Mus musculus: one gene and its partners. The protein of the gene in region 1 interacts with the protein of each later gene in a biochemical or structural test. Links are inferred from orthologs where the notes say so. Each region holds a gene or a part of one and is shown in the gene's direction. Other genes may lie near its edges.

The links.
Region 2: of the proteins of Cdk1 (region 1) and Ezh2, one has a biochemical effect on the other in vitro, tested with the Homo sapiens proteins (5 studies listed by BioGRID). The link is inferred for Mus musculus from reciprocal best matches to the Homo sapiens genes CDK1 and EZH2.
Region 3: of the proteins of Cdk1 (region 1) and Rgcc, one has a biochemical effect on the other in vitro, tested with the Homo sapiens proteins (2 studies listed by BioGRID and IntAct). The link is inferred for Mus musculus from reciprocal best matches to the Homo sapiens genes CDK1 and RGCC.
Region 4: of the proteins of Cdk1 (region 1) and Rpa2, one has a biochemical effect on the other in vitro, tested with the Homo sapiens proteins (2 studies listed by BioGRID). The link is inferred for Mus musculus from reciprocal best matches to the Homo sapiens genes CDK1 and RPA2.
Region 5: of the proteins of Cdk1 (region 1) and Hmga1b, one has a biochemical effect on the other in vitro, tested with the Homo sapiens proteins (3 studies listed by BioGRID and IntAct). The link is inferred for Mus musculus from reciprocal best matches to the Homo sapiens genes CDK1 and HMGA1.
Region 6: of the proteins of Cdk1 (region 1) and Ptpn1, one has a biochemical effect on the other in vitro, tested with the Homo sapiens proteins (2 studies listed by BioGRID). The link is inferred for Mus musculus from reciprocal best matches to the Homo sapiens genes CDK1 and PTPN1.
Region 7: of the proteins of Cdk1 (region 1) and Wee1, one has a biochemical effect on the other in vitro, tested with the Homo sapiens proteins (5 studies listed by BioGRID, with this or other methods). The link is inferred for Mus musculus from reciprocal best matches to the Homo sapiens genes CDK1 and WEE1.

What each region holds. Positions count from the first base shown.
Region 1 is NC_000076.6:69,342,913-69,346,412, reverse strand, and holds part of Cdk1 (cyclin-dependent kinase 1), read left to right. Parts: intron 1-181; coding exon 182-338; intron 339-1,228; coding exon 1,229-1,352; intron 1,353-3,500. UniProt on the Homo sapiens protein: Plays a key role in the control of the eukaryotic cell cycle by modulating the centrosome cycle as well as mitotic onset; promotes G2-M transition via association with multiple interphase cyclins.
Region 2 is NC_000072.6:47,592,231-47,596,530, reverse strand, and holds the start of Ezh2 (histone-lysine N-methyltransferase EZH2), read left to right. Parts: upstream 1-1,500; 5' UTR 1,501-1,637; exon of another isoform or gene 1,638-1,840; intron 1,841-4,300. UniProt on the Homo sapiens protein: Polycomb group (PcG) protein. Catalytic subunit of the PRC2/EED-EZH2 complex, which methylates 'Lys-9' (H3K9me) and 'Lys-27' (H3K27me) of histone H3, leading to transcriptional repression of the affected target gene.
Region 3 is NC_000080.6:79,298,836-79,303,050, reverse strand, and holds the start of Rgcc (regulator of cell cycle RGCC), read left to right. Parts: upstream 1-1,415; 5' UTR 1,416-1,553; coding exon 1,554-1,602; intron 1,603-2,150; coding exon 2,151-2,336; intron 2,337-4,215. UniProt on the Homo sapiens protein: Modulates the activity of cell cycle-specific kinases. Enhances CDK1 activity. May contribute to the regulation of the cell cycle. May inhibit growth of glioma cells by promoting arrest of mitotic progression at the G2/M transition.
Region 4 is NC_000070.6:132,766,968-132,771,159, forward strand, and holds the start of Rpa2 (replication protein A 32 kDa subunit), read left to right. Parts: upstream 1-1,392; 5' UTR 1,393-1,489; coding exon 1,490-1,499; intron 1,500-1,712; coding exon 1,713-1,819; intron 1,820-3,578; coding exon 3,579-3,680; intron 3,681-4,192. UniProt on the Homo sapiens protein: As part of the heterotrimeric replication protein A complex (RPA/RP-A), binds and stabilizes single-stranded DNA intermediates that form during DNA replication or upon DNA stress.
Region 5 is NC_000077.6:120,761,620-120,764,892, forward strand, and holds Hmga1b (high mobility group protein HMG-I/HMG-Y), read left to right. Parts: upstream 1-1,174; 5' UTR 1,175-1,269; coding exon 1,270-1,371; coding exon of another isoform or gene 1,372-1,404; coding exon 1,405-1,593; 3' UTR 1,594-2,773; downstream 2,774-3,273. UniProt on the Homo sapiens protein: HMG-I/Y bind preferentially to the minor groove of A+T rich regions in double-stranded DNA. It is suggested that these proteins could function in nucleosome phasing and in the 3'-end processing of mRNA transcripts.
Region 6 is NC_000068.7:167,930,827-167,935,126, forward strand, and holds the start of Ptpn1 (tyrosine-protein phosphatase non-receptor type 1), read left to right. Parts: upstream 1-1,500; 5' UTR 1,501-1,667; coding exon 1,668-1,730; intron 1,731-4,300. UniProt on the Homo sapiens protein: Tyrosine-protein phosphatase which acts as a regulator of endoplasmic reticulum unfolded protein response. Mediates dephosphorylation of EIF2AK3/PERK; inactivating the protein kinase activity of EIF2AK3/PERK.
Region 7 is NC_000073.6:110,141,429-110,143,799, forward strand, and holds the end of Wee1 (wee1-like protein kinase), read left to right. Parts: intron 1-527; coding exon 528-684; 3' UTR 685-1,871; downstream 1,872-2,371. UniProt on the Homo sapiens protein: Acts as a negative regulator of entry into mitosis (G2 to M transition) by protecting the nucleus from cytoplasmically activated cyclin B1-complexed CDK1 before the onset of mitosis by mediating phosphorylation of CDK1 on 'Tyr-15'.

The sequences.
Region 1 (3,500 bases):
GATGACTCAGTGGGCTTTATTTCCAAACCATGTATATGTTAGATCGTAGTTATCTTCAATGCCTTTTTGAAAGCAGTGAGGGTTTAATGATGTGAGGGGCCTATCTGACTGCAGCTGGCATTTCTCTCGTGTGATACTCAAAGAGTTCAACTTAGAAGAAAATCTCTTTGCTTTCTTTCAGGTACTTACGGTGTGGTGTATAAGGGTAGACACAGAGTCACTGGCCAGATAGTGGCCATGAAGAAGATCAGACTTGAAAGCGAGGAAGAAGGAGTGCCCAGTACTGCAATTCGGGAAATCTCTCTATTAAAAGAACTTCGACATCCAAATATAGTCAGGTGTGCTGTGTTAGAACTGAAGCCACTCTCCCTGTGCTGCTGCACATCTGTTTTAAAGTAGAAATTTTTATGTACTTTCTGGTTCAAGTGGGATGGAGTCCTGCTTTGCTGATGGTGTTTGGAGAATTTGAGACAGGGTGCTAGAATTGGCTAGAGGAGCAAGGCACAGCCCTGGGACCCCTTCCATGGGGAGCTTGCTTAGCTCCTACTTTTAGGGCCCAGGTCCCCAGAGGCTCCTGAGACCAGGGGCCAGGCTGAGGTAGATAAGCTATGCTTTATTGACTTGCTTGGGCTGGGTCATTGAGGACGTTGTCTGGTGGTTCATTAGAATTTCTGTTGGTAGGAGGGACTGAACCCAGGCCTTTGGGTAGAGCTAAGAAAGTGCTCTACCACTGAGCTGTAGCCTCTGGCCTCCTAATATGGGGTTTTGAAATTATTAAGACAGGATATTACTCTAGCTCACCCAGGTTGGCCTGGAATTTACTGCTGTCCTCTAGCTCCCAAGTGCCGGGATTATGGGTTTAAACCACCGCACCCAGTCTCCAGCACTCACAGAATTACCCAGGGTGACCTTGTGCTCACTCCATCCTTTGCATCTAGAGATCCTTGCCTTACTTAGCACCTCTGGTAGCTGGCGTGACCTGCCTCTGCCCCTGGGTTCTAACTGTTGTTGCACTGGGGCTGGCACTAGGGAGCAGCTTTAATCTTCTCGAGCAGCCAGCTTTAGGAGTGCAGGCGGTGTGAGCTAGCTCCTCCTGCAGAGGAGGCTGTGGACTACTGTCCTGAACTTCCGTCCTCAAGTTCTACTTGAGAGTGAAGGTCACTGTTAGCAGTTATGCTGTTGGAAGTGGAGGCAGGCTGCTGGCTGGACTCACGCTTGCTCTGCTCAGCCTGCAGGATGTGCTCATGCAGGACTCCAGGCTGTATCTCATCTTTGAGTTCCTGTCCATGGACCTCAAGAAGTACCTGGACTCCATCCCTCCTGGGCAGTTCATGGATTCTTCACTCGTTAAGGTAAAGAGTTGCGTGCTTTTACTAATACGCTCTCTGAACGTGGGCTCCATCCTTGCGTTTTGTGGCTGCATCTTAGAAAACCTGTAAGGGAAGAGACAGCATTTTATTTTCCTTCCTTCCACCGGATGAGATCATCATCTGCCTGTCTCATTTCCAGAAGGTTCTAGAAGTGAGAAGTAGCGTCTGAGCACCTAAGTGCTACCCTGTGGCTTATGTATCACATTGCTGGGGGCAGGCCAGGCTACAGTGGTTATGTGCAGATCAGCGACAGCAGCCTGAGCCCGGTGCTGATGCTAAGTGGTCTTACTCTGACAAGTAGGCTTTGGTTAATGTAAACATTGTATTTCAGTTAAATTATAATTGTATTTATTGTTCTTTGTGTGTGGTACCGGGTATTGGATCCAGGGCATTGTGTATAATTGGGCAAGTGTTATTCTCAGCAAATGGGTATAGGTTGTAAATGTCTATGGTAAAGGGGTCTTCACCTTAAACCGGCTTTATTTTTCCACTGAACTCTGTGCATGCCTTGAGATGTTCACGTTGACTTTGTATGCATCTAAACCCAGTGGGATCCTTCTGTATGTGCACTGCACACGTTAGTTAGCCTCTCATGTCTCTGTTTCGTAGTGGTTTAATACTTTGTACAGCTAGTAAACCATTTCCACTTAGATTACTTCCTACTTTAGTGATGGCTGCAGTGAGTCGTCATGAGTGGTGGTGGAGGTTCATTCTGCAGCCCAGGCTGGCCTTGAACTCTCATCCTCAAGCCGCCATCTCCCAAGTGTGGGCATTATAAGCATGTGCCACCACACCCACCACTTTATGTCATTTTAGAGGTGGCTTCTTGGAACTGTGATAAAATCTGTGTTTATATTTAAGATCATGGTTGATAGGTCCTCTAAAAATCAATTACTATTTTATTACATTGTTACCAAGACTTGACTGTATGTAACTTTTAAATAGTCTCAGTGTATTATGGGAAGGGTTTTATTACAGTTATTCTATTTGACATTTAACATACTATTGTGTTTACTCATTTTTGCATAACCTGTACATATTCACTCATCTTTCTGTATTTCAGTGGTTTCAAAAGTCATTATTACTAACACACGGTGACTTGCTAGTGGTGCCCACCACTGCCAGTGCTCACACTGTATGGCTATTGCTGAGATGAAGGCTATGGCCTCAGCAAGCAACTTGAGGAGGAAAGTGGCCGTTTGGCTTACACTTGCATGTAACTGCTCATCACCCCAGGAAGTCAGGACAGGAGCTCCTGGCCAGGAACTTGGGGGCAGGAGCTGATTCAGAGGCTGTGGAGAGCCCAGGGCCACCAGTCCAGGGATGGCACCACCCATGATGAGCTGGGCCCTCTCCCAGCGATTACTAATTAAGAAAATGCCTTACAAGCTTGCTTACAACCTGTACTTAAGGAGGCATTTTCTCAGTTGAAGCTTCCTCTCCAATAACTCTAGCTTCTGTCAAGTTGACATAAAACTCTCCAGCAGAGTATTCTTAATGATTTTTTTGTTGTTTTGTTAAAGCCATAATGTATAAGATCAAATGTTTTAGAATAATGTCAATATTTTTCTGCTCTCTCCTATCTCCTAACTTTTCTTAAGTTATGGATAGGGAAAGATTCCTTTGGCTTTAGGATTGGAAGGCTTGGGGACATTTCAGAGGGAAAGTGCTTATGGCACAAGCACGAGGAGCTGAGCTCTGGTTCCCAGGCTCCACATGGAGGTGGTGAGGTGGTGGTGTGGCTCCACATGGAGGTGGTGAGGTGGTGTGGACATCTATAAGCCCAGAGGCTGAAGGACAGAGGCAGGGGCTGCGGGTGGGATGGCTCTGTTGTGTCCCAGGGCCATCCATTTTGATCAAAATGGTGAACTTCAGGTTTAATGAGAAATATCTGCCTGTCACTCGGGTACCTACATTGAAGAGTGCACATGTGTGGGCATGCACACACTAGAGAAGTAGGTTACGAACAAACTTTTACACATTCCCAGTTTAAGCTGTTTTACATATTTTCCTGTTGTCTCAAAAGAGGAAATGCACGTGTAAAGTGACAGAAATGGAAAAGCACAGCTTTATTCAGGATAGAAACAGTTGACACGAGTGCTGAGGAAACTTCTGCACAGAAAGCTAACA
Region 2 (4,300 bases), on another chromosome or scaffold:
CGAATTTCAGGTGTATAATGAAGTTCAGCTGAAGGCATCCCAGCTTATGAACTGAACTAGTGGATTCTTGAATTTTCCGCTTACATACACACACACTAGTTTATTAGAGTGGCTTACAGGCTGTAGGTCCAGCTAGTCCAACAATTACTGTTTACCAACGGAAAACCCAAGAATCCGCTAGTTCTTGAGTCTACAAGCCTGGGTGTCTTTGGCTGAAGGAAGCCAGAAGATGTGTGCTCTAATGCCAGTGAAGGATTATGTATATATTCCTTCTTTCTATATATTCTGAAAATCTATATACATATTCATTCTCAGTTCTCTATCCATTCTATCAGTGAAGGAATGAATACATTCATTTATTCATTCATTCATTCAACCTGTTCCTCTAGAGAACCACGACCAATACAGATACATAACTTCCAGAGTGTTACAAATTCTCAGTCTGAACTCTTCACTATTGAACCTGTTTTCACAGGTCTGTGGGATTTTGCCATTCAGATGCATCTTATTAAAAGTAAATTTGAAATACCATTATTCACCTCATTGCCAGATAACTGAACAGGGAGTGGGGGTTGGGCTGCGTACTGTATAAGCAGCTCATTTCTATTCCTCGGGGAGAAAGGTTGACTCCCAAGATGCCATTGACAAATGTTGCAAACTCCTTACACTTTGCTGAGAAAACATGGGGTGAGCTATTTGCTCTCAAAAGTTGTTAATAAACAACTTGAAACCTTGATAAGTGCTAAGAACCATAAACGCAGCTTGGAAGGCCTTTCAGAGAAATCTGGTCGCCTTTTCTTCCGTCGTCAGGGGATTAGGCACCAGTTTTGCTAGCCAAAGCCTCCAAGGTGCCGAAAGGAACCGCACTAACTTTATCTGCCTACTGGTGCTCTCCGTGAGGAGCGAGGGCCGCCCCGCATTGAATCCCCTGTGGGGCCGGTCACACGCCTTCCTTTCAGTGGCGCCAACAAAAGTGTTGGACCCCGGGCCCAGTATGGCACGCCGGAGAAGAGGGCGGTTAAGACCGTTACCAACCCGAGTTTTGAACTATTTCAAACTTGGCTCAGGCGCCCGCCCGTCTCCTCCCCTCCCCCTCCCGAGAACCACTCAGCGCCCATTCCCGCCAAGAGCTGGCCCGCCCCCCGGCCGGTTCCCGCCATCCCGACCTCCCCGCCTCCTGCCCATAGCGGGCTTCGGGTCCCGCCAAGTGCCCGGCCTCCGCCTGCCTGTCCATGGCTTTCCTGAGAGGTACCGCACGTTGGCAAAAGAACAAAGACAGCGACTGTGGTGCTTCCACCCAGCAAGCCGCGTTCCTCAGAGCGAGCCCTGTCACTCGCGCACGCGCTGGTGAGCCTCGCGCTCCCAGGGCTGGAGCTCGCTCCGAAGGCTCCCAGCCCGTTCGGCCCTCTGATTGGACGGGCGCCCTCTCGCATCCTCCAATCGGAGAGGCGCTTGATAGTGCTGGGGGGGCCAAATAAAAGCGATGGCGATTGGGTTGCTGCGTTTGGCGCTCGGTCCGGTCGCGTCCGACACCCAGTGGGACATCGAAGGCAGTGGAGTCCCGGCGGCGGCGGTGGCGGTGGCGGCGGGTTGGGGGCGACGCGCGGGAGAGGCGCGGGCTGGCGCGCGGGACGAAGGTAGTCCGCGCCGTCGGCCGCCGGTGGTCGGCAGTCAGGGATCTGGAACGCGCCCCGGGGCGGCGGCGGCGGCGGCGGCGATCGCGGGACCTCCGCGCGGGTGCCTGGCCAGTCTTCGGCATCGCCCAAGCGGGTCTCACTCGAGCGCCGCTTTTGTAGGCGCGGAGGGAGGGCTAGGGGACAGCTTTCTGAGCGGTCGTGAGGTGTGTGGCGGTCCCCGCGGTCCCACGAGTGAACTGTGGATTCCGGCAGACGCGGGCGGGCGGGGGCCGGGAGTGGGGGCTTCTGTCCCGGAGCCTGGTCCCGCCTGGCCGGGGCTGGGGGCGTTCCTGTGGCCGATCGGGGCCGGCAGCGCTGAGCCTCAAGTCTTCTTTGTGTGGCTGGGAGGCGGGAGCGCCCGGGTAGGACGGGACTTACACACAAGTTGGTGGGACCGAGTCGAGAGTCTGCACTCAGACAAAGGACAGACTGTGTCTCGGAAGGGGAGGGGAGGACGCGACACTCGGGGCTCCCGCCGCGCGGGTGGGGGCGTGGGGAGGCGCGACGCGAGCGCGAGTGGGCAGGGCTCGTCCTTGCCTGGCCCTGCTGGGGGCGACCGGCTAACGCCGGGCCTTGCTAAGGCGGGACTGCGTGCACAATGTGGGAACTCCCTTAGCCCTGCGGCTGACATTTCCCCGAGAGCCGGGAGTCTCCCACTGCCTCGGGCTGCTAGTGTCCTCGACTGGCTTTGTGCTAAGTTCGATGGAAGAGTCCAGCTGTGTTTCCTTCTCTCACTTCATTATACAGCCCCCCTTGCACGCACCAGATCGTATGCTTCAGGGCTACTTTTTGAAAATGGGAGAAATTGAGAAAGCACGGGCTTTCGGAAAACTTGGTGAATGTCTTGTGAGTTCTACTTTCTAAAGGACCAAAACCTGAAAGAAAAACAAAATCTGTTTTGGCCAACTTGTGTGCTTTTGAGAATGGTGACAGGTGCTAACGAAATCAACTGTCATTTACTCAGTGATTATTCCCCAAATCTCCAGGGGTAGGTTGTTAAAGACTAGATGATCGAAATAAAATACCCACGAGAAATGTGGGTTTACGCTGTAGAATTGACAGTTTCTTTTTAGTGGGTCACGTTTCCCGTGAACAATAGCTTTGGTGAGTCAGAAAAGGCATTTGTTGCCTAAGAAATTCGAGTGTATTCTTGTCACAATTCAAAGAAACTTACTTTGCTTATTAACAGGATCTGTAGAATCTAAATTCATCTGAAGTAAAAATTTGTCTTTGATATTTAAAATACCGTACAACAACGCTACAACGCCTTTTCAGTTTCAGGAAAGTCGTTATCAGTTTAATTCTATGGGTTTTTAATGGCACATAAAACATTTGAAAAATACTAATGCTGTCACAGTTGAATGTAGTTTATATTTTTGGCGATTTAAAAATGTATTTTCAATTACTTTTTATTAATGAATATTAGCAGTGAATTCATATTCAGGAATAAAAGTCAATTTTACTTAGAAGAATGTGGAAATATTTAGGTTATATTTAATTTCCTGTTCTTGTATTCTCAAGTTGGAAACGGATTGGATTCTGGTCTTAAACGAAAAGAATCCTGCCTTTTCTCTTTGGAGAGGTGTACTAGAGAATGAAAATTGCATTAGGAAAACTTAGGAAAATTGCATCCTATATTCTAATTTTGATGGGTTTTGAATATATTTCTTAAAAAAAAAAACAAAAAAAAACCAAAAGAACAGACTCTTGTTGCACTGTTTCATCTAATGAAGACCTAAAGTACATCTGCTAATTTACGGTTTCATATGAATGGAGACAAAGAAATGCAGTGTCAAATTTCTGTTGTTTCTGATTTGCAGGAGCATCGTAGAATAGACATTCCAGGTGCAGCTCTAAATGTTGAGATTGTAGCATAAGGTTTATGTTTACATTAAAATCCTATTGATAATCTCATTCATTATGAGGTGAGCTAGTTGTATAGAATTTTGGTAGAAAATTAGTTTAGAATTTAACAATTCAGTTTTGCCTGAATATGTGATTTTTTCCTGTAGTTGACATTTGCTGTTTTGTACTTGCCACATATATTTCCTTAACTCTCTGAAGAATTGGTTGAAAATATTGCCTTATGTTTCGGTAGAAATGAGAAATGTTTAAGAAGTCTAAATAGGGATAGAAAAAGCCACTTGTTGACATGTGTAGCTAGAAGTGTTCTTTTTGGTACTGATATTCTTTTGCATGGATACATGTGATTATTTTTGTGTTGGCTATGTAAAGGTTTTAGTCAGATTTTCCAAATCACACCAAAATTCATTTGCTTTAGGTTGTCCTTTATCCTTTGAAGTCATATGCTCAAGAAGTTTAGATTTATTTTATTACTAGCCTTTAAATAATAATGAAGAAAGTTGATTTGCCTTAAAAAAACGAACAAAGGAAAATTTCTCTGCTGATAAAATGATTTATGGGCTATAGAAATGGTTTATAGATTAGCTTTGAAGTCTTTATGTCAGTGTAGATGGTGAATTTTTCAGTACATTCCATAGTAGTTATAGGTTGGTAGAATCTTTACGGTGGAACATGGGTAGAAAGGAACAATTCATTAAATTCAGAGAAAGGTCCATCAGAGTATGTGCTTTATTTTAGAGATGTTGTCCCAGAAGTCTCAG
Region 3 (4,215 bases), on another chromosome or scaffold:
TGGCCGTTGATCACTTGAAAGTGTCTAGTATAGCTAAGGAAGTGTCTGGTGTAGTTAAGAAAGTGTCTGGTGTCTGGACTGAAAACTTTCACTTTATTCAATTTTGATTGTTTTACATTTATTTATTTATTTTCTTTTGCAGGTCTGAGGATGAGCCTTCAGACTCAGGGCTCACCCATGCTAGGCAAGCACTTTATTGCTAAATCATATTCCCAGGCCCCAGCTAGCCCCTTACTTTACATTAATTTAGTGGTGTGTGTGTGTGTGTGTGTGTGTGTGTGTGTGTGTGTGTGTATGTGTGTGTGTGGTGTGTGTGTGGTATGTGTGTGTGTAGCATGTGCATATATGCACACAAGGCGTATGTTGTGCCGGACAAGATCAGAGGTCAACCGCAAATGTGATCGATTCCCTGGGCACTGCCCACCTCCATTTTTAAGATACAGCTTTTCATTGACTTGGAGTTCTCACTTTGGGATTGGCTGGGGAGTCCCAGGGATTTGCCAGCCTTTGCCTCTCAGGGCTGGGATTATAAGTGGTGTCCATCTAGTTTGGATTTTTTAATGTGGATTTTGGGGCTTGAACTTGGATCTTCATGCGTGCACAGTAAACTCTTTACAGACAGGATTGTACTATGTAGGGTTTTTTTTCTTTTCTTTTCATGCAGTAGTCCTCAAATCTCCACTCTCTTGCCTAGACCCCCTTCTACCATCCTCCTTAGGGCTGGGACTATAGGCGCAGGCCACCAGCAGGCCTCTTATTTTACGTTTAATAACTACCTGGGGCAAAGGGCTGTTGGTCACCTGAGGCAGGAATTCTACTGGGCTGTGCTAAGGATGGACGCTCAATCATACGGACCCTATACCAGAATGCATCTGTCCATGTGGTACTCTGCGCTCAAAGATCATCTCAATTGAAGACTGCATTCACCTCAACCCACTGCCCTCAGCTGTCCACTCTGTCCACGCACAACCTTATAAATTCCTTGAGAAAAGTCAGATGGAGGACTGGTTCTTTGCAGAGGCTACTGAGGCCCTTGGCTCCTTTATTTTTGCAGCAAACAAGGAGGCTTTCTGCATGTGCAGTTCCATTTCATAGATGAGGCTCAAGGAGGCTCAGCCAGAAGGCGGGAAACAGGGTAAACTCTTGGAGAACTCTGATGCCCGCAAAGACACTTCCTTGGGTCGGGTTGTCAGGGTGGTAGAGAAAGCGGCGGGTAAATATTTGGGGCGGTATCCTGGACTCCGGCGACACCCGTCACTGCGGTTCTTCAGAGGCCAGCGCGTGGCTAGGGCGGTGCCGGGAGTAGGGGGTGGAGGGACAGGGGCGTCCCCTAGGTCGTCTGGGACTTACTCAGCAGCCCCGCCCCGCCCCGCCCCTGCCGGTGGCTATAAGACGGAGTAGCCGGCGGGTGGCGCGGCTCAGGCGAGTAGCTAGCGCTCAGGCTCGGCAAGGAGCAAGGCAGAGGCACCGGAGCAGACTGCAGTGCAGGCGGCAGCCACCAGGGCCAACACCTCGCAGCATCTCTGCTACGCGTGTCACTGAGCAACTTCTCCATGAAGCCGCCCTCAGCGCAGAGCAGTCCCGCGGCGGTCGCGGCCGCAGGTGAGTGCCTATTTGGAGGTGTCTTCTCCACCTCTGCGCCCCGGGATCGAAGCCAGGGACTGCGTCCACGCTAAGCTACACTCTCAGCTCCGGGGCCCCTGAGAGCTGGAGCCTGCAAGTAGGGGCGAGAGAACAGAGGTCGCTAAGGTCTTCTTCCACTGCCCACCCTTCTGTCCTCCATCACCCTGGCATCCCGTCTCCGGATCGCTCGTCCGATGCAGGTTTAGTTTGGTTTTCCACGCGGGACAAGGAACCGGAGTCTGACACGTAACGGGTGCCTGCTGACTCAGACTTCCCGCCGCCACGCGCTCCAGGGAGCGAGCGTGGGCAACAGTAGGAAAGCGCGTGGGGTGGGCTAGGTGACTTCCAGACTTTCAGCTCAACCCACGGAGGCTTCTTCTCCTCCGTGTCTGGTGACAGGCGCTTTAGAGGGTGGTTGGGAGGTTACGGAGTAACTGACTGCGTGGCTGTCACTGGCAAAGGCAGAGTGGAGTTCTAGGGAACGCTGGCCGCCCCTCCAGATGCCCTCTGTGCCCTCCCTCCCCTAGCCCCGGCCATGGACTCCGCGGCCGCTGCAGACCTGACCGACGTGCTGTGCGAGTTCGACGCGGTGCTGGCCGACTTCGCGTCGCCCTTCCACGAGCGCCACTTCCACTATGAGGAGCACCTAGAGCGCATGAAGCGGCGCAGCAGCGCCAGCGTCAGCGACAGCAGCGGCTTCAGCGACTCGGAGAGTAAGTGAAGCCCTGTTGAAGTCAGTAATCCTCAGACTCAGGCTTCCTAAAGCTCTAGATTCACCTGGGTTATCTTTAAACTGAGGCACGACATCTGGGGAAAGTCAGACCCGGGGATCTGCACGGCTCTGAGATGCCTGAAGAGTTGACTTTCTGAGTCGTTAGCCCAGATGTGCGGGGGTCATTAAGGCGTTCTTGGGGAGAGAGGTACGAGGGTGGGTGGGTGGCTCTTAAAGAGCTGTGGGTCTACCTGTCACGGCAGGTGTGTACCATGAGGCCTGAGGGTTTGTGCAGTCAGCCAGAACTCCTGGGAGTCCAGCCAGGCCTTCCAACCTTTTCCCGCCTTTCTACCCACTCTTCGCTCTTCATTTTTTTTTTTTTATTTTATTTTATTTTGAGACTCTCCCAAGGTGATCTATGTAGCTGCGGGTGACCTCGAACCTCTCTGATCCTCTTTCCTCGGGCTTCAGGGTGCTGGGGTGACAGTGCAATGCCACCACATTTAGGCACATCAGTTTATAGGCAATGCTGGGGGTCAGACCTAGGGCTTCTTGCACGCTAGGCAAACACTAGACCAACAGCACCCTCCCTTTCCTTTTCCAGAATGGGTGTTGGGGAACATGAGGACACGAGTGAGCACAAGAATGAAACATTTGTGAAACCAAAATGGTTTCATAAGCTGCTGTTTTTGGAATGCTTGAAATAACTTCGTTCACTTTCTGCCTAGCTCCCAGGCTCTTTCGCCACTCCAGGCACTTTTGAAACAGTCTCCCGCTGGGCTGCTGAGTTCAAGTACAGGGTTTCAGGCACGCCCACCCTCCAGGTTACCCACAGAAGGTCATCCTAGTAACCTTTTCCACATTGCCTCTGGAGAGGGGAAGGGGGAGGGGAGGGGGAGGGGGAGGGGGAGGGGGAGAGAGAGAGTTAGTTTTCAGTAACTCAAGTGACCTGCAAGAACAGTGAATTTGGTGACCTTTTATTTATTATTATATAATTGTTTTCAAATCTTGGCTTATTCACTGTTTTTCAATGTGAACTTTAAATTCTGTTTGTTCTTGTGCCCTTAGTCCCTAGATACAGGCTCAGACATCACCAATTGTGCTGTCCCCAACTCTGGGAGTAAAAGTCACATTGCTGTTTTGAAATCTAGAAACATTTTCCTTTGTTACTAGGTGAAGATTCTGAGCCTGAGCTGTCCTCCTGAGAAGGGATGATGTTTGACATCCAGGTCAGGATTTGAATCTGAAACCCAAGCTCTGGTTTGATTTTCCTTAGCCACCTACACAGATCACCACGTGACTTAGGGGGCGAAGGGGGAGGGAAGAGGGCTGGTGAGCTGTTCATTTCCATTTAGAACTTTTGCGTCTTGATGCCAATGACCTGGTCACTTGTTCTCAGCAGTCAAGTGAAGCCTGACGCTGGAAATTTTTCTCCACAGCTGTGGTGTAACTTGAATATATTTCTTTCCACTGGGTCAAGGAACAAATTTTTCATTGTGTATAAATTCTCTTCTCCACAGAAGAGAAGGCTAGGTCTGTCCCCGATGCTCTGTAATCAAGTTCAGCTCCTTGCTAAGCCCCAGCCTCAGTCTAGATTAGAGTCTGAATTTGTGCAGTGATGTCGAACAGCACCCACCAGTTCTGCCAGGAGGGGTTTCAGATCCACGGTATGTTTTTAGGAGTCTCAAAAAGAGAATTCACCACAGTTTCTTAACAGTTGGAGAGAAGATTGACAGAATTTGCAGTTTTCTTAGGCATATCTCTGTGCATTTTGCTTTCTGCTTTTGTTGTCAACTTAAGCTTTCTTTCTGTGGTGGTTGGAGAGTAACAGGGAGGATCTAAGAAAGCACAGATGACCTTGGTCTTTGCCGTCAATGTGG
Region 4 (4,192 bases), on another chromosome or scaffold:
GGCCATGTATGGCCATGAGGTTTCTTTTGTTTGTTTTCTTTTTTTTTTCTTCAAGACAGGGTTTCCCTGTGCAGCCTTGACTGTCCTAGAACTCACACTGTAGACCAAGCTGGCCTCAAATTCACAGAGATCCACCTGCCTCCACCTCCCAAGTGTTGGGGTTAAAGGCGTGTGCCAACCCCTCCCCCAGGTAGGGTTTCTTTCTTTGAAAACATGAACATGTTATCTATGCCCTGGATACAAGCCTGTGTGTGCGTATGAACATGTGTGCTGGAGTGTGTGCTTGTGTGTGTGTGTGTAGAGGACAACTTGTAGGAGTTGTGATGGAGCAGCCTGACTCCACCTTAAGTTCTGAAGCCATCTTATCATACTACCAAAATAAGTCCATTCCTCTTTTCTATAAAACTTAATTTGACCAGGTCTTGACCAACTTTCTGAATTTCGACAGGTTCCACACCCTATACCCTGATTTCAGTCTGATAGACGTTCTGCCAAATAATGCTGAAATGTTCGACCAAGTGCCTACATAACCCTTGAAAATGTCCATATTCTTGCAGTTTTGGGGGTTATATAAACCTCACCTCTTGTGTTCGATGCTGTTTTCTCATTTTGTATTTGTTTTGTTTTTTCGAGACAGGGTTTCTCTGTGTAGCCTTGGCTGTCCTGGAACTCACTCTGTAGACCAGGCTGGCCTCGAACTCAGAAATCCTCCTGCCTCTGCCTCCTAAATGCTGGGATTAAAGGTCTGTGCCACCACTGCCCGGCGATGCTGTTTTCTCAAAACCCCAGTTTAGCGAGATAGCCATCTCTGACAAAATTAAGCTTGCTTAATTTGACCAAAAATTGTTTAATCATTTCTACTCATCTTCAGTGGGATTAACAGTTGAGCCTCTCCTTCCACCATCACGCAGGTATTTATTTATGAATACAATATCACTATCTTCAGACACACCAGAAGAGGACAGCAGATCCCATTATAGATGGTTGTGATCCACCATGTGGTTGCTGGGAATTGAACTCGGGAGTTCTGGAAGAGCAGAAAACTAGCAGTTTGGCGGGAAAAGGGGGCTAGCGAGCGGCGGAAGTGATGTAGGGTTGCATGCGACGGAGATGGGGTGTGTGTGAAGAATGCTTGAGGATGGCCCCGGAAGTATCGTTTTGATTGGTTGTTTTCTTGAATACTGTCCTATCGGAAATTTGCCCTCAGTAAAGATGGCCGCGCATGCTTCCATTCCTTCTTGGGGCCGGGTGTTTTTCCTAAGCTTGGCCTTGATACCGAAAAAAAAAGGAGGGGACTCATGAGTTCTGATTGGCTGAAGGTAAATGTGTCCAGGGCGCTGATTGGCTGTCCCTTCGCGGGAAGGAGTTTGTGGCGCCAGTGCAAAGTAGCCAGAAGGCTGCCACGCCAGAGCGGCACAGAGTTCCCAAGTGTTCTTAGTTTTCGTGTCCGAGCGTCTTGGGCCGCTCTCTCCGGAGAACTGCGACCAGGATGTGGAATAGTAATGGCGGGCGTGGGGAGAGTCACGCGAGGGTGTTGGGAGTGGGCGAGTCTGGCGCAGGAAGGCCGGGACGGAGCGAGAGGCCCGAGGCGGGCTCGGCGGCGTTCGCGGGGTGGCAGGGGGATTGTCGCGGCTGGGGCGGTGGGGACAGCGGTCGCCAGGTATAGAGATGGGGAGCGCAGCGCAGACTCTGACGACGGTCGTTCCCCGCAGGCGGATTCGAAAGCTTCAGCAGCTCCACCTATGGCGGAGCAGGCGGCTACACGCAGTCCCCCGGTGGCTTCGGGTCGCCCACACCGTCGCAGGCGGAGAAGAAATCGGTACGTAGACTGACGGCTCCGTTCTCATTTGTGTCCTGGCCAGGAGGGAACGTGTTTTCGTGCGGGAGGGTGGCACACCCCAAGGTGTCAGAAGCTGTCCGTTACCTACCTTGTCTTTTGTATGGTCAAGTGGGGAACAGGGTTTTTATTATTTTATTGTTTGGCAAGCCTGCAGTGGTTCGCCCGGCCTCCATTTTCCTGGCCCTACCACTCGAAAGTATGCTTTAGTAGAGTTTAATATCGCTGTCCCCAGGGCACAAAAATCCCTGAAGAACAAGAGTCCACTGTGTTCAGAACAGGTTTGGGGTTGTTTCCTGTTGGTAACTGACAGGAAGGACACGCTAAGCCTTAATCTGCTGGGCTTTTTCTGCCTCGTACATATTCATTGTATGACCAAGTGTTTTGGAGGTGTTTGTAGCTCTGGCTGGCCTGGAACTCAGAGATCCACCTGCCTGTACACTGTAGTTGTCTTCAGACACACCAGAAGAGGGCATCAGATACCACTACAGATGGTTGTGAGCCACCGTATGGTTGCTGGGAATTGAACTCAGGACCTCTGGAAGAGCAGTCAGTGCTCTTAACCGCTGAGCCATCTCTCCAGCCCAAAAAGATCCTTTCTTAAAAAACAAACAAACTACATTGCTCGTAGGTGGCTTGAGAGGCAAGTGTCTTTGCTAGATGCTCCTCTGCCCACTCCATCTGACTCTCCTGTTAAGATGCCCAAAGATGAGCAGCTTGACGAAACTCACCAGGTTTTCTGCAGAGACTGCCATCTGGTTGCCAGAATATCTCCTAAAAGAAGCTATACTTCTAACTTCTTCCATTTTATCAAGAAACCTAGAGCATCTTCGTAGTCCTTTTTCTGCTTGTCATTTCTCAAGCCTTTTCACAAGGCCCTGTTGTCTCCGTGGTGTCCTGAACACTGCTCTTGCTATGTCTGGGATGTGCTCTTTCTACCCCTACCTCTCTGAGACAGTTGTTTTCTTGTTGTTGTTTTGTTTTGGGTGTCTGTGTGTGTGTGTGTGTGTGTGTGTGTGTGTGTGTGTGTATCCTTGGCTGTCCTGGAACTCACTCTATAGACCAGGCTGGCCTTGAACTCAAGAAGTCCACCTGCCTCTGCCTCCTGGGTGCTGAGATTAAAACCATTTGCCACCACTGCCTAGCCCTGGGATGCGTTCTTTTTTTTTTTTTTTTTTTTTTTTTTTTAAGATTTATTTATTTATTATATGTAAGTTCACTGCAGCTGTCTTCAGACACTCCAGAAGAGGGCATCAGATCTTGTTACAGATGGTTGTGAGCCACCATGTGGTTGCTGGGATTTGAACTCCGGACCTTCGGAAGAGCAGTCGGGTGCTCTTACCCACTGAGCCATCTCACCAGCCCCCACCTGGGATGCGTTCTAAAGACAGGCTATCCTATGTTGTCCTGACTCTAGTCTGACCTTTTCTTTGTGAACCCACAATAGGATACAAACATATATTCACCTGGAGGTCTAGCATCAGATCCCTGTGGGCTTGAATTCAAAAGTGTGGCATTCGCCGTGTATAGTAGCACACACTCTGAATCCTAGCACTTAGGAGGGAGAGGAAGATGAAACAAATGTTAACTTTCTGGCCCTGTTTTCTGTCTCTTTTTAAAGTAAGGAGAACTTGGTTTTGCAATTCCAGGAGTGTGGTATATTCAAGTGCTTGGCACATGGAAATATTAAATGAGTGATTGTTACTCTCTTGGGTTGACTGTGCGTACTTTTTCTTTTCAGAGAGTCCGAGCCCAGCATATTGTGCCCTGTACCATATCCCAGCTGCTTTCTGCTACTCTGACTGATGAAGTGTTCAGAATTGGAGATGTCGAGATTTCACAGGTCTGTAAGATTTTGTGGAAGAACCGTTTAGAGATAGGAAATATGAGGGGTGGGAAGATGTCTGCGCAAGCGTGAGGCCCAGTATCAGATCCGTATGCATGTACAAGGCCAGGCTCGCTTCCCCTGGGTCCTGTAACTACGAAGCTCAGAGACGGGAGGGTCCTAGGGCCTTGCTGGCTCCAGGTTCAGTGAGAGACTCTGTCTCAAGGGAATAAAAGCAATAGTGCTAGACCTGGACAGCCAATGTCCTCCAGCAAGGGCATTGCTCATCTGTCTGCTCATTTGTGCATACCCTTCACGCATATGCAAAGAAAAAGGAGTAAGACTTGCTTAATCGAAAAGTATGTAGCAAGTGACGTGCTCTGTGGGTGAAAGTGCTTGGGCCTTTAGCACAAGTCTGATTACCTGAGTTCAGCCTCCATATTCTACATTAGAAAAAGAACCAGCTCCCTAAAATAGCCTCTGACCCCTGGGCCATGGCACACATACACACAATGGTAAAATAACAATAT
Region 5 (3,273 bases), on another chromosome or scaffold:
GTTTGTCTGAGAGAGACTCTCAGCTTTTGTTGCTTACCCTGACAGCAAGGGATCTTGTGAAATTGGTCAGTTTCAGGAACTTCCTGAAACTATATGAGTTGTTTGCATCCCTACTTAAGGAACTTCCATGCAGGATGGGGTGTTTTAATTTCAAAGGAAACTGTTATACAACAGTCCTCACATAATGTTGTAGTTAGGGCTCAGCACATGACTCTGGATAGAGAAGTCTTCAGACAACATAGGTGACAGGAGATAGAGCAGGAGCTGTGGAGGGTGAAGACATCTTAGGAGAAATGCGCTCCTAAGGGCGAAGCTAGCAGATGACTGTCTTCCCAAGACGTTGGAGCTTGATGCTCCCTTCCTGGTAAACCACTTCCTCCTGCCTGGTGGCCAACTGGCATCCCTGAAAGGCCACCATTTCCCAGGAGTTCCGATGGCCACCAGACAGCAGGTTGGTCACAATCCACAGCTTTTGTCATAGAAGGGGAAGGGCTTTGATCTTACTGGATAGATCAGGCCAGACACCAGTATTCAGTGCCACCTGGAGGTTGGCTATAGGACTTGGTGGTTTGCTCAGACTGGGATCAAGGACACAGTGAGCAGGCATGATCTGTCCCTGTTAGCTATGAGGAAACTGCCAGGCAGCAGCAAATGATTGGGCTCCGGGCCCCCACTGTGTATGCTGTCCCCTGAGCCACAGGAAGGTCCCAGAGCACCCTTCTGACCAGTGCGGAGGAATGCTCAGGGGAAGGGTACTGCTGTCCCTGCACTATAGAGCACTGGAAGTACAGCTGCCTCCTTTCAGCGACTCACACGGTCTCAGTGCAGAGCCTGGACTGAGCAAGGGAAAGGCGGCAGTCTGAGCACACCTCCTCCCCAGGGCTGTCCATGAGGCATCTGAGCCTCCTGCCCGGCCCAGATGTCGTGTGACCTGCTATGACTCACTGGATCGTGAGTACTTGTTCCATGAACCCTGACACACAAGACAAGAGACCCTCAGCACACCTCAAACAATCGCCAGACACGGGTTGAGGTGCACAATATTCTCTGATTACTCCTAACTGGCTCCAAAGAACCAGGTCTCTGCTCAGAGAAGAGGAGATGCACAGAGGTACTCAGGGTTTGCAACTGGGGCAGGAAACCCCAGAATCCATGCTTAGATTTACAAGAGTCGCCTCTAATTGGGACTCCGAGTCGGGGCTATTTCTGGTGTTGGCGCGGCTCCAAGAAGGCACTCACTGTGTGCTGCCCCACACATAGAGAAGGAGAATGAGCGAGTCGGGCTCAAAGTCCAGCCAGCCCCTGGCCTCCAAGCAGGAAAAGGATGGGACTGAGAAGCGAGGCCGGGGCAGGCCACGCAAGCAGCCTCCGGTGAGTCCTGGGACGGCGCTGGTCGGGAGTCAGAAAGAGCCCAGTGAAGTGCCAACTCCGAAGAGACCTCGGGGCCGACCAAAGGGAAGCAAGAATAAGGGCGCCGCCAAGACCCGGAAAGTCACCACAGCTCCAGGGAGGAAACCAAGGGGCAGACCCAAGAAACTGGAGAAGGAGGAAGAGGAGGGCATCTCCCAGGAGTCCTCTGAGGAGGAGCAGTGATCACCACTCGCAGTGCCGCCTGCTCCATAGCCACTGAGGAGCAGCTGTCCCCTGGGACTGGAAGCCCTGCTCCCAGGCCCCTCCCCGCCCCCACTGCACACTACCGCACCAGGCACCAGCTGCAGGCTCTGCTCCGCAGCACCCAAGGGAGCAGGATTCGGCTCAGTCCCTGTGCCCTCCTCCCGAACACACCTGCCCCATCCTGACAAGGCTAACTTCCCATTTAGCCGCAGCCCGGCCTGCTGCGCACCTCCCTCAGAGCCGTGGCTCTCTGGGCGCTTTGTTTTGCGGGTCCCTTCTGCCCTGCTGTTCCTGGCTTCCCCGTAGAGGGTCCTGGGAGCATTCCCTGGCCTTAAGGGGCCCCGGCCCCATCTCACTCTGACAAGGCCCAGTGGCTGACCTAGCAGCAGCAGTGTGGTCAGGGCAGGGGATGCTTAGATCCCAGCATGTCCCCACCAAAGTATCACCGGGTGGGTTTCTCAGCCCCTCCTGCCCCACCCTACAGAGATCATGCACTGGGTTGGCTGAGCCCCTTGACAACAGGAAGTAGGATGATGTTGGCTCCACCCACTTTAATGTTCTCACCTGAGACTAGACAGATGGGGTTACCGCCCATCTCCAGAGTAAGGGCCTGTTCTCGCCTCCACCAAAGGCAAACGGGCACCAACACGCCTCCCCCAGTCCACTCTAGGCTGTTCCTTCCTCCCGCAGGGCACTAAGGAGCTAGCCTTGCCGCCCCCTCCTTTTCGCTCCTCCCTGCCCCCCATGGTTCTGGTTCCATCTTCTCCTCTGTTCACAAACTACCTCTGGACGGTTGTGTTGTTTTTTTTTTGTTCCATGTTCATTCTTAGATACCCACTATTGCTGCTGCTACCAGCGTCAGATGTTCATCCTCCTGAATTTGCCTGTATTCTCTCCCCCACACAATACACTCGAGGGGAAGGGGGGCTGGGGCGCAGCAGACTGGTTACCTACCCCACACTAAGGAAGATGGGGCCCCACCCCGTGGATGCTGCAGCAGAGTGAGGATGGGGGCCCACTTTGATGGGAAAAGGGTGTAGGGCCACCTCCCCTTGTTCTGTGGGGGAGGGGTGGCCAGTATTTGTCCCAGCCTGGGGCTTCCTCCCTGGTTTCTTATTTGCAGTTACTTGAATAAAAAACAAATAGCCTTTTCTGGACAGTCAAAAAAAAAAAAAAAAAAAAAAAAGATTTACAAGAGTCCTGCCTCAAAGTAAAGACGGTGCCTCAGTGTCTCTGCCAAAGGCGGAGTTCCTGGCTGGTACGGGGCAGCAGGTGAGGGGCACCTGGGAGGAACAGATTGAGGGGAACAGCCAGGGGACTCTCTAGACACACTGCAGGCATGGTGGGTTCTTGGGTCCCTGGGCATTGGAATCCAGTGTGCCTGCTCCAGCTAGATCACATCACTACCTTCATTTATAACAACAAAACAAAAAGTCCCAAGCTGATGCTTCTGTCCAGATAATTCCAAACCCAGCAATCTCACTGCCCTGGGCCGAGGGTGTGGCTCACATCACCGAGCATCACTGATGGGGCACCGTTGGCTTAGTATGCTCTCAGGCCCTGGGTTCAAGACTCCACATCTCATTGCTGAAAATTCAGATTCCTTCTTTAGGTTGCCCCTTCCTTCCCGCTACACTGCTGTGTCAGACCCTCTCACAG
Region 6 (4,300 bases), on another chromosome or scaffold:
GGACACGGCTCCTACCTATGTCTCCCTTTCTATCCCAGAATGGAAGTTTACAACTCCATGTTCCAGTTACATTTCCCCAGGGAAGGCAATCCCATCCTTCACACATACTTCAAGGAACCCAAGCATCGGAACCAACATTCAGTGCTCACCCTGGGCAGTCTGAACAAACCACAGAATCTGCACCCAGATGACATCAGAGAGGAAGATTTTTTTTTTCTTTTAAACATGTTTTTAGATTTATTTGTATGATGGTTTTGTATGCATGTATGTACAGTAGTATGGTATCACATGTATACCCTGTGCCCTTGAAGGTCAGAAGACGGCCTGAAACTAGAGTTAGGATGGTTATGAGTCACCAACAAACCCCAAGGAAGATTTTTTCCCTTTTGGTTGTTTTTTTGTTTTGAGAAGGGGTCTCACTGTATAACTGGCTGTCCCGGAACGATGTAGACCAGGCTGGCCTGGAACTCAGAGACCCCTTGCTTCTACCTGGAGAGTTTAAAGGCAAGTGCCACCACATCTGGTCAGGATTTTCTTGATACTGGAGAAAGACAGAAAACTAGCACCACATGTCCCATCCGTTCATTCTGCCAGGGTAAAAACTCTTATGGACTTTCCCAAGTTTCATGAGAGCAGAGTGGCCAGCTGGGTGTTAGCACCTGTCCAAAACTCCGGAGACTGAGGCAGGCAGATCCAGAGCTGGAGGCTGGCCTGGGTTACGTAGTGAACTCCAGGCCAGCTCGGGCTATAGAGTGATTCGTTGTCTAAAACGAACACTCTGCTCGCTGGGATGTGGCCGGAGTAGGTCCTAGCATGCACGGAGCTCTGGTTTATCCCCCGCAATGCATGTCTGTGATTCCAAGACGTGGGAGATGGAGGCGAGAGGATCATCCTTCGCCTGACAGCAAATAAGAGGTTATCCTTGGCCTGACAGCAAGTGAGAGGCCAGCCTGGAATATCGTGACCCTGAGTTAAAAATAAAGAACGGAGCCCGAAGTGATGGCACACACCTTTAATCCCAGAACTCGGGAAAAAGGCAGCCGGATTTATGAGTTCGAGGCCAGTCTTGGTCTACAGAGTGAATGTGAGGACGTCCAGGGCTACGCACAGAAACCCTGTCTGGAAAAACCAAGACAAAAAGGAAAAAAAGAAAAAAGAAAAACAGACCGGGACAGGAAACGCCGCTCCCACTCAACCGCCCAGCTCGAGGCCACGCCCTCGCCGCCTGACTCAACCGGCGGGCTTGAGGCTCGAACTCAGGATACTCCCCGAGTCCCGCCTCGGCCCACGCGCCGTGGGCGCGCCGCCGGGGGTCGCTTGGGCAACGGGCGCGCGCCCTCCGGAGCGCGGAACCCGGGAAGCCGCACGCGGCGCGCGCAGCAAGTCTGCTCCTCGGGTTCGGGCCTCGTCCGCGATGCCCCGCCTACCGCTCCGCCCCCGCGGAAGTGCCGGCCGCCTTTTCGCTAGCTGACTGGTCCTCCCGTACAGAGGGCGGAGCTCGCGGTGAGGCGGGGGTGCGTACTTCCGGCTGCCGGCTTGACATGCAGAAGCCGCTGCTGGGGAGCTTGGGGCTGCGGTGGTGGCGGGTGACGGGCTTCGGGACGCGGAGCGACGCGGCCTAGCGCGGCGGACGGCCGTGGGAACTCGGGCAGCCGACCCGTCCCGCCATGGAGATGGAGAAGGAGTTCGAGGAGATCGACAAGGCTGGGAACTGGGCGGCTATTTACCAGGTGCGGAGCCGGGGGCCCCTAGGCCGCGCCGTCTCCCCGACCCTCCCGGCTCGGGGGACTCCTGTCGCGCATCCTCGTCGCCCTAGACCCCTCTTGGGGTTCGCGGCCCCTGCGACACCCCCACTCGCCTCTATCTCTCCGCGGTCCCTGTCATCTTCGAGCTCCCCCCGCAAACCCGACCCCAACATGGCCCAGCCACCCTTTGTCCCCACTGGTCCACACCCCTGCCGCTTCCTTGTCTGGACTGGACCACCTCAGGCCCTCTTCCTTTGTCTCCTGGGGAGGAGGGTGGGCTCGCCGACACCCCCGCCCCCTCACATTTCACTTCCTCGGGCCTCGGTGTGCGGTGGTGGAGGCCCGGGGATGACAGCCCCCTTACTCCTTCCTGTCCATTCATTTGTTAGACGTGAGCTGGAGGGTCTCTTCGGTGCTAGGCTTTGGAGCTGGTGTGTATTGAACGCCACCGTAGACCTAACCTATCCCCCCCCCCCCGAGAGGCTATAGTCACACAGACATTCAAATACTGATCATTGCATCTGGTGACAAGTGTTGAGAAGAGAAAGACCTGTTCTGGTGGAGGGTGACTGTACGCAAAGGGGCTGCCTTGTCTAGGGCATCACCGGCAGGGCTGCTAGCGGCTCGACAGGGAAGGAGACTTGCTCTTTGAATAGACCAAGGAGTGACAAGCCATGAGGTTAGGCGACTAACTAGGGGGACACAGAACCCATTCCTATAGCTGCCTGACCCTCTCCAAATGGCCTCTTTCTTTTGTCTTTTATCCTTTGACCGTGAGCTGAGATGGTTTCTGTTTTCTGTGATCCGGTCCACTTGAGGGGTTCTGGTGGTTCATTAAAAAAAAAAAAAGTATTATGAAAGTAGGGTTCTCCCCCCCACCCCCCGCCATGTATGAAACAGTGAATTGAAAATGCAAAGATGTCTTTGCAAGCAGCTAAGTCCTCTAAAGAAAACAAATCTTCCGATTAAATGTCAGTGCGGGGGTTGTGAGGATTAACCATACTCGCCAGGCATCTTAAATAAGCATGTGCAAAATAGATCCTGTTCCTCGGGTAAAGAGAGCAGGCGGTTTATTCTGCTTTCAGCTTCTAGGTTCAAAAGACAGCGGGTGAGACCCATCAGCTGGAAATTGAAATCTATTTTGAGCTTCACTTAGGAAAGTAGGCACCCTCAGGCTGTTGTTTGGTGTTCTTGACTGACAAAACCTTTTTTGGGGGGTTGCCTTGGTTTCCAGATTCTTTGACAGGGTTCTTTTTACTTGGGCCTCGGTGTGCTCGTCAGCTTTTTTGGGGGGCAGATATTTGTAGCTAGTGTAATCTGTGTCAGTCGAGCGATCAATTGTAACATTTGTATTGCACGTCTAGTCTATGAATTGGCTGGACAGATTCCACTAAGGAGTCAGGTCTGTGGGCAGATTTTCTGTATCAGATTAAATGCAAGGGGATCCCAGTGTAACAACAGCACGTGAAGATTGTTCTGTAAGCCACTCTGATGTGTGGAGGTTGTTGGCTAAACAGACCGTCCCAAGTGGAGACCGTTGAATCTTTAGTACTGAGACAGACTTATTTGGTAACAAATTGGCATCATTAATAAGTTATGGTAGAATGTGGTTTTTTACGCTTTTAGGTTAGAGTGGCCTGCCCCGACATCTAAGCCTTGTTAAAGCTGGCGCAGAGTGGGCTGGCTTTGAAATCTGTTTTCTTCATTCTTCTCCAATTTCTCCTCCACACTTAAGCCCCACACGTTAGTAAATTGCTAGTAATAGTAATAGTAAGCCCCACAAGTTAAGTACGATGCCAGGGTCCGCACAGCCTGTTCACAAGTGCTTGTGCCCTTGGTTCCCCAGTGTGAAGGTTTTATGTTCTCTCTCTCTCTCTCTTCTTTTTGTTTTTTAGAGATAAGGTTTCTCTGTGTAGCCCTGGCAGTCCTGGAACTTGCTCTGTAGACCATCTGGCTGGCTTTGAACTCAGAGATCAGGCTGTTTTTGTTTCTGGAGTGCAGGGATTAAAGGAGTGTGCCACCCTGCATATTTGTAGTTTTGAAGATGGTTATGGAAGTGCTCCTGTTTTACATTTTAAAAGTAGCCTTTTGACTTACAGTTGTGAGCATTTTGTTGTTGTTTTATTTTGTCTTTTTGCTTTTTGCTCAAGACAAGGTTTCTATATGTAACAGTCCTTGGCTGTCTTGGGGCTCCATTTGCAGACCAGGCTAACCTCCAACTCAGAAATCTTCCTGCCTCTGCTTCCAGAGTGCTGGGATCAAAGATGTGTGCTTCAATTGTGCCACTTTTTAAAACCAGTATTTGAATGACCTTGAGTGAATGACCTAAAGCTGTTTTTCTAATATAAAGGATAATTTCTCTAAACCTTTTGTTTCAGCTTAAAGAAAATATGTTTACGATTGGTGGAAAATAAAAGGGTTGAGTTGTTTTTTTTTTTTTTTGGTTTGGTTTGGTTTGGTTTTTGGTTTTCCGAGACAGGGTTTCTCTGTGTAGCCCTGGCTGTCCTGGAACTCACTCTGTAGACCAGGCTGGCCTCCAACTCAGAAATCCTCCT
Region 7 (2,371 bases), on another chromosome or scaffold:
AACTCAGGTTGTCAGGCTTGGTGGCAGGTGTTATCGCTGATGAATCTTTTCACCAGCTCCAGGTGTGTCATATACCATTATAATGCATCAAGAGTTATCGCCCACAATGGGTTGGCCCCTCCCACTCCAATCACTGATTGGGAAACAGGTTTGCACCTAGCAGTGGTGGCCCATGCCTTTAATCCCAGCACTTGGGAGGCGCAGGCAGGTGGATTTCTGAGTTCGAGGCCAGCCTGGTCTACAGAGTGAGTTCCAGGACAGCCAGGGCTCCACAGAGAAACCCTGTCTCGAGGAACAAAAAAATAAATAAATAAATAAATAAATAGAAACAGGTTTGCCTGCAGCCTGACCTTGTAGAGGCATTTTCTCAATTGAGGCTCCTAGTTTGTGATGACTCTATAGTTTGTTTCAAATTGACATAAAACTAGCCAGCACAATGTTTGAGTTTGTATTTGGCTTCTTAGACTCTTTCCATAGAATTAATGCAGTAGGTAAATTAAAGTCTTGCTTCCTTCTTATTTTTGTAGAGAACTCAAGAAAGCCCAAATGGCAGCCAAAGTTGCAGCTGAGGAACGGGCACTCTTCACAGATCGGATGGCCACTAGATCCACCACCCAGAGTAATAGAACTTCTCGACTTATTGGAAAGAAAATGAACCGCTCTGTCAGCCTTACTATATACTGAACTGCTCACATTCCCCAGCCCTTCCCCACTCAAAGGAAAAAACTGTGACAAGAGGAAGCTAGGTTGGAATCACTGCTAGAGCCCACTTCGTGATTACTTGCCCATTGGTATCAGTAGTTTTCCTAAAACGTAACGCCTTCTGTGACTTTGAGAATTACAGTTGAGAGCTGTATTCTGACTTGGCTCTGTCAGGCTTTTGTCTCATCTCCCGTCTGTTTCATGTAGGATGTGGGTCACTGTTGGATGTTCCAGCCCCCTTTGCGGGGTGCGCCACTGTGGTGGTGTGCTGCTTCTCATTCACTGTTGCAGTGTGGTGAAAGGTGTCTTTCCTGGTTGTGACCTCTAGAAAGGACTCAAGGGCTTTACTGCGAACATCCTCTCCCTTCAAAAAGGGAAATGCTCAGAGACTCAGTACTCCTCTGCCTCCAATGTACCTGTGTCAGTCTTGCGTTTCTTTTTTCTATGTGAATTACACTTGTATATCCAACTGGGAGCACTTTAGGCATCGTGTGCGCCATGGGATGGTCATTCTGTGGAGGCCTTGCCTTGTGAATTTGCTGCTATTTTAGTTTCCTCTTGCTGTAAAACTAGCATTAAACAATCATTGTTGTTAATAGGCTTTCTTTCAGAACAATTATGTGAAATATATAGCTGCTCTTCATGAAAAGCAGCTTCGCATCTTTTTCTTTGGACTTTGAAGCTACTGCATTGAAAAAGTGCACCTACCCCTCCCTGTTTGAATGCTGTATTAATGTAGTATAATTATTACTGGTTTTGTAAATTTTTCTTATAATGTCCCCTGTCTTTAAAACATGTTTCCTTCCTCCTGTCAAGTCTTGTACTTGGTTGTATGGTTAGCCTATTTTTAAATGTTTTGCCCAGTTTCTCTTCAATATTTGTGTATATAAACTGATCTTGGTAATACTGTACATAGCTGTTTAAAAATACCAGAATGACTTCTGACTATTCCAAGTTTTCCACAAAATACATTTTACCTGTGAATAGCCATTTGACTAACAATATTTGGCTAGTAGATGCTGCCCTCCAAAAGGAGGGAAATGTCTCACTTGTTTTCCTATTAACTTTGGTCTGAAACACATTTGCACTTGTCTGTTTGACTTGTGTCTTATTAACATTGTCTGGTGTATTAAAAGTCATTCCGTGCTTACCTTAATTGTCTAAATCTTCACGGTGCCTGTTTTCTACTTTATACTCCTCACTGCTCATTACAGAATGTGGATAAATAGATATAACTTGCTAAGAGCAGAGTGCACTTCCTCGTTGTTGCTGGCTCTTTGAAACAGGCTCTCACCTTATAGTCCAGGGTGGCCTGAAACTTAGCTGCCTCCCTTGCCACCCTAGTGCTAGACTTAGAACTCCAGTACCTATCGTGATGGAACTAAAGATGTGCTTTCGTCCATGCTAGGAAAGTTTTGTTATTACCAATATAAATAATACATCTAAGCATATCACATGTTAATACACGTGACACTGGAAATGAGGTACAATTTTAAAGGTTCAGCTGACGTGGATAAAATATGCAACTCCTAGCTTTCTAAACTAGTCTGAACCACAGAAAAGCTTATAGTGTTAAGAGACTGGCTTGTGTGTACATTTACACGCAAGACAACCCAGGGCCTTGCCCTTGTCAAGCACTCCTCTAAACATCCAACCCAACATACTTTTA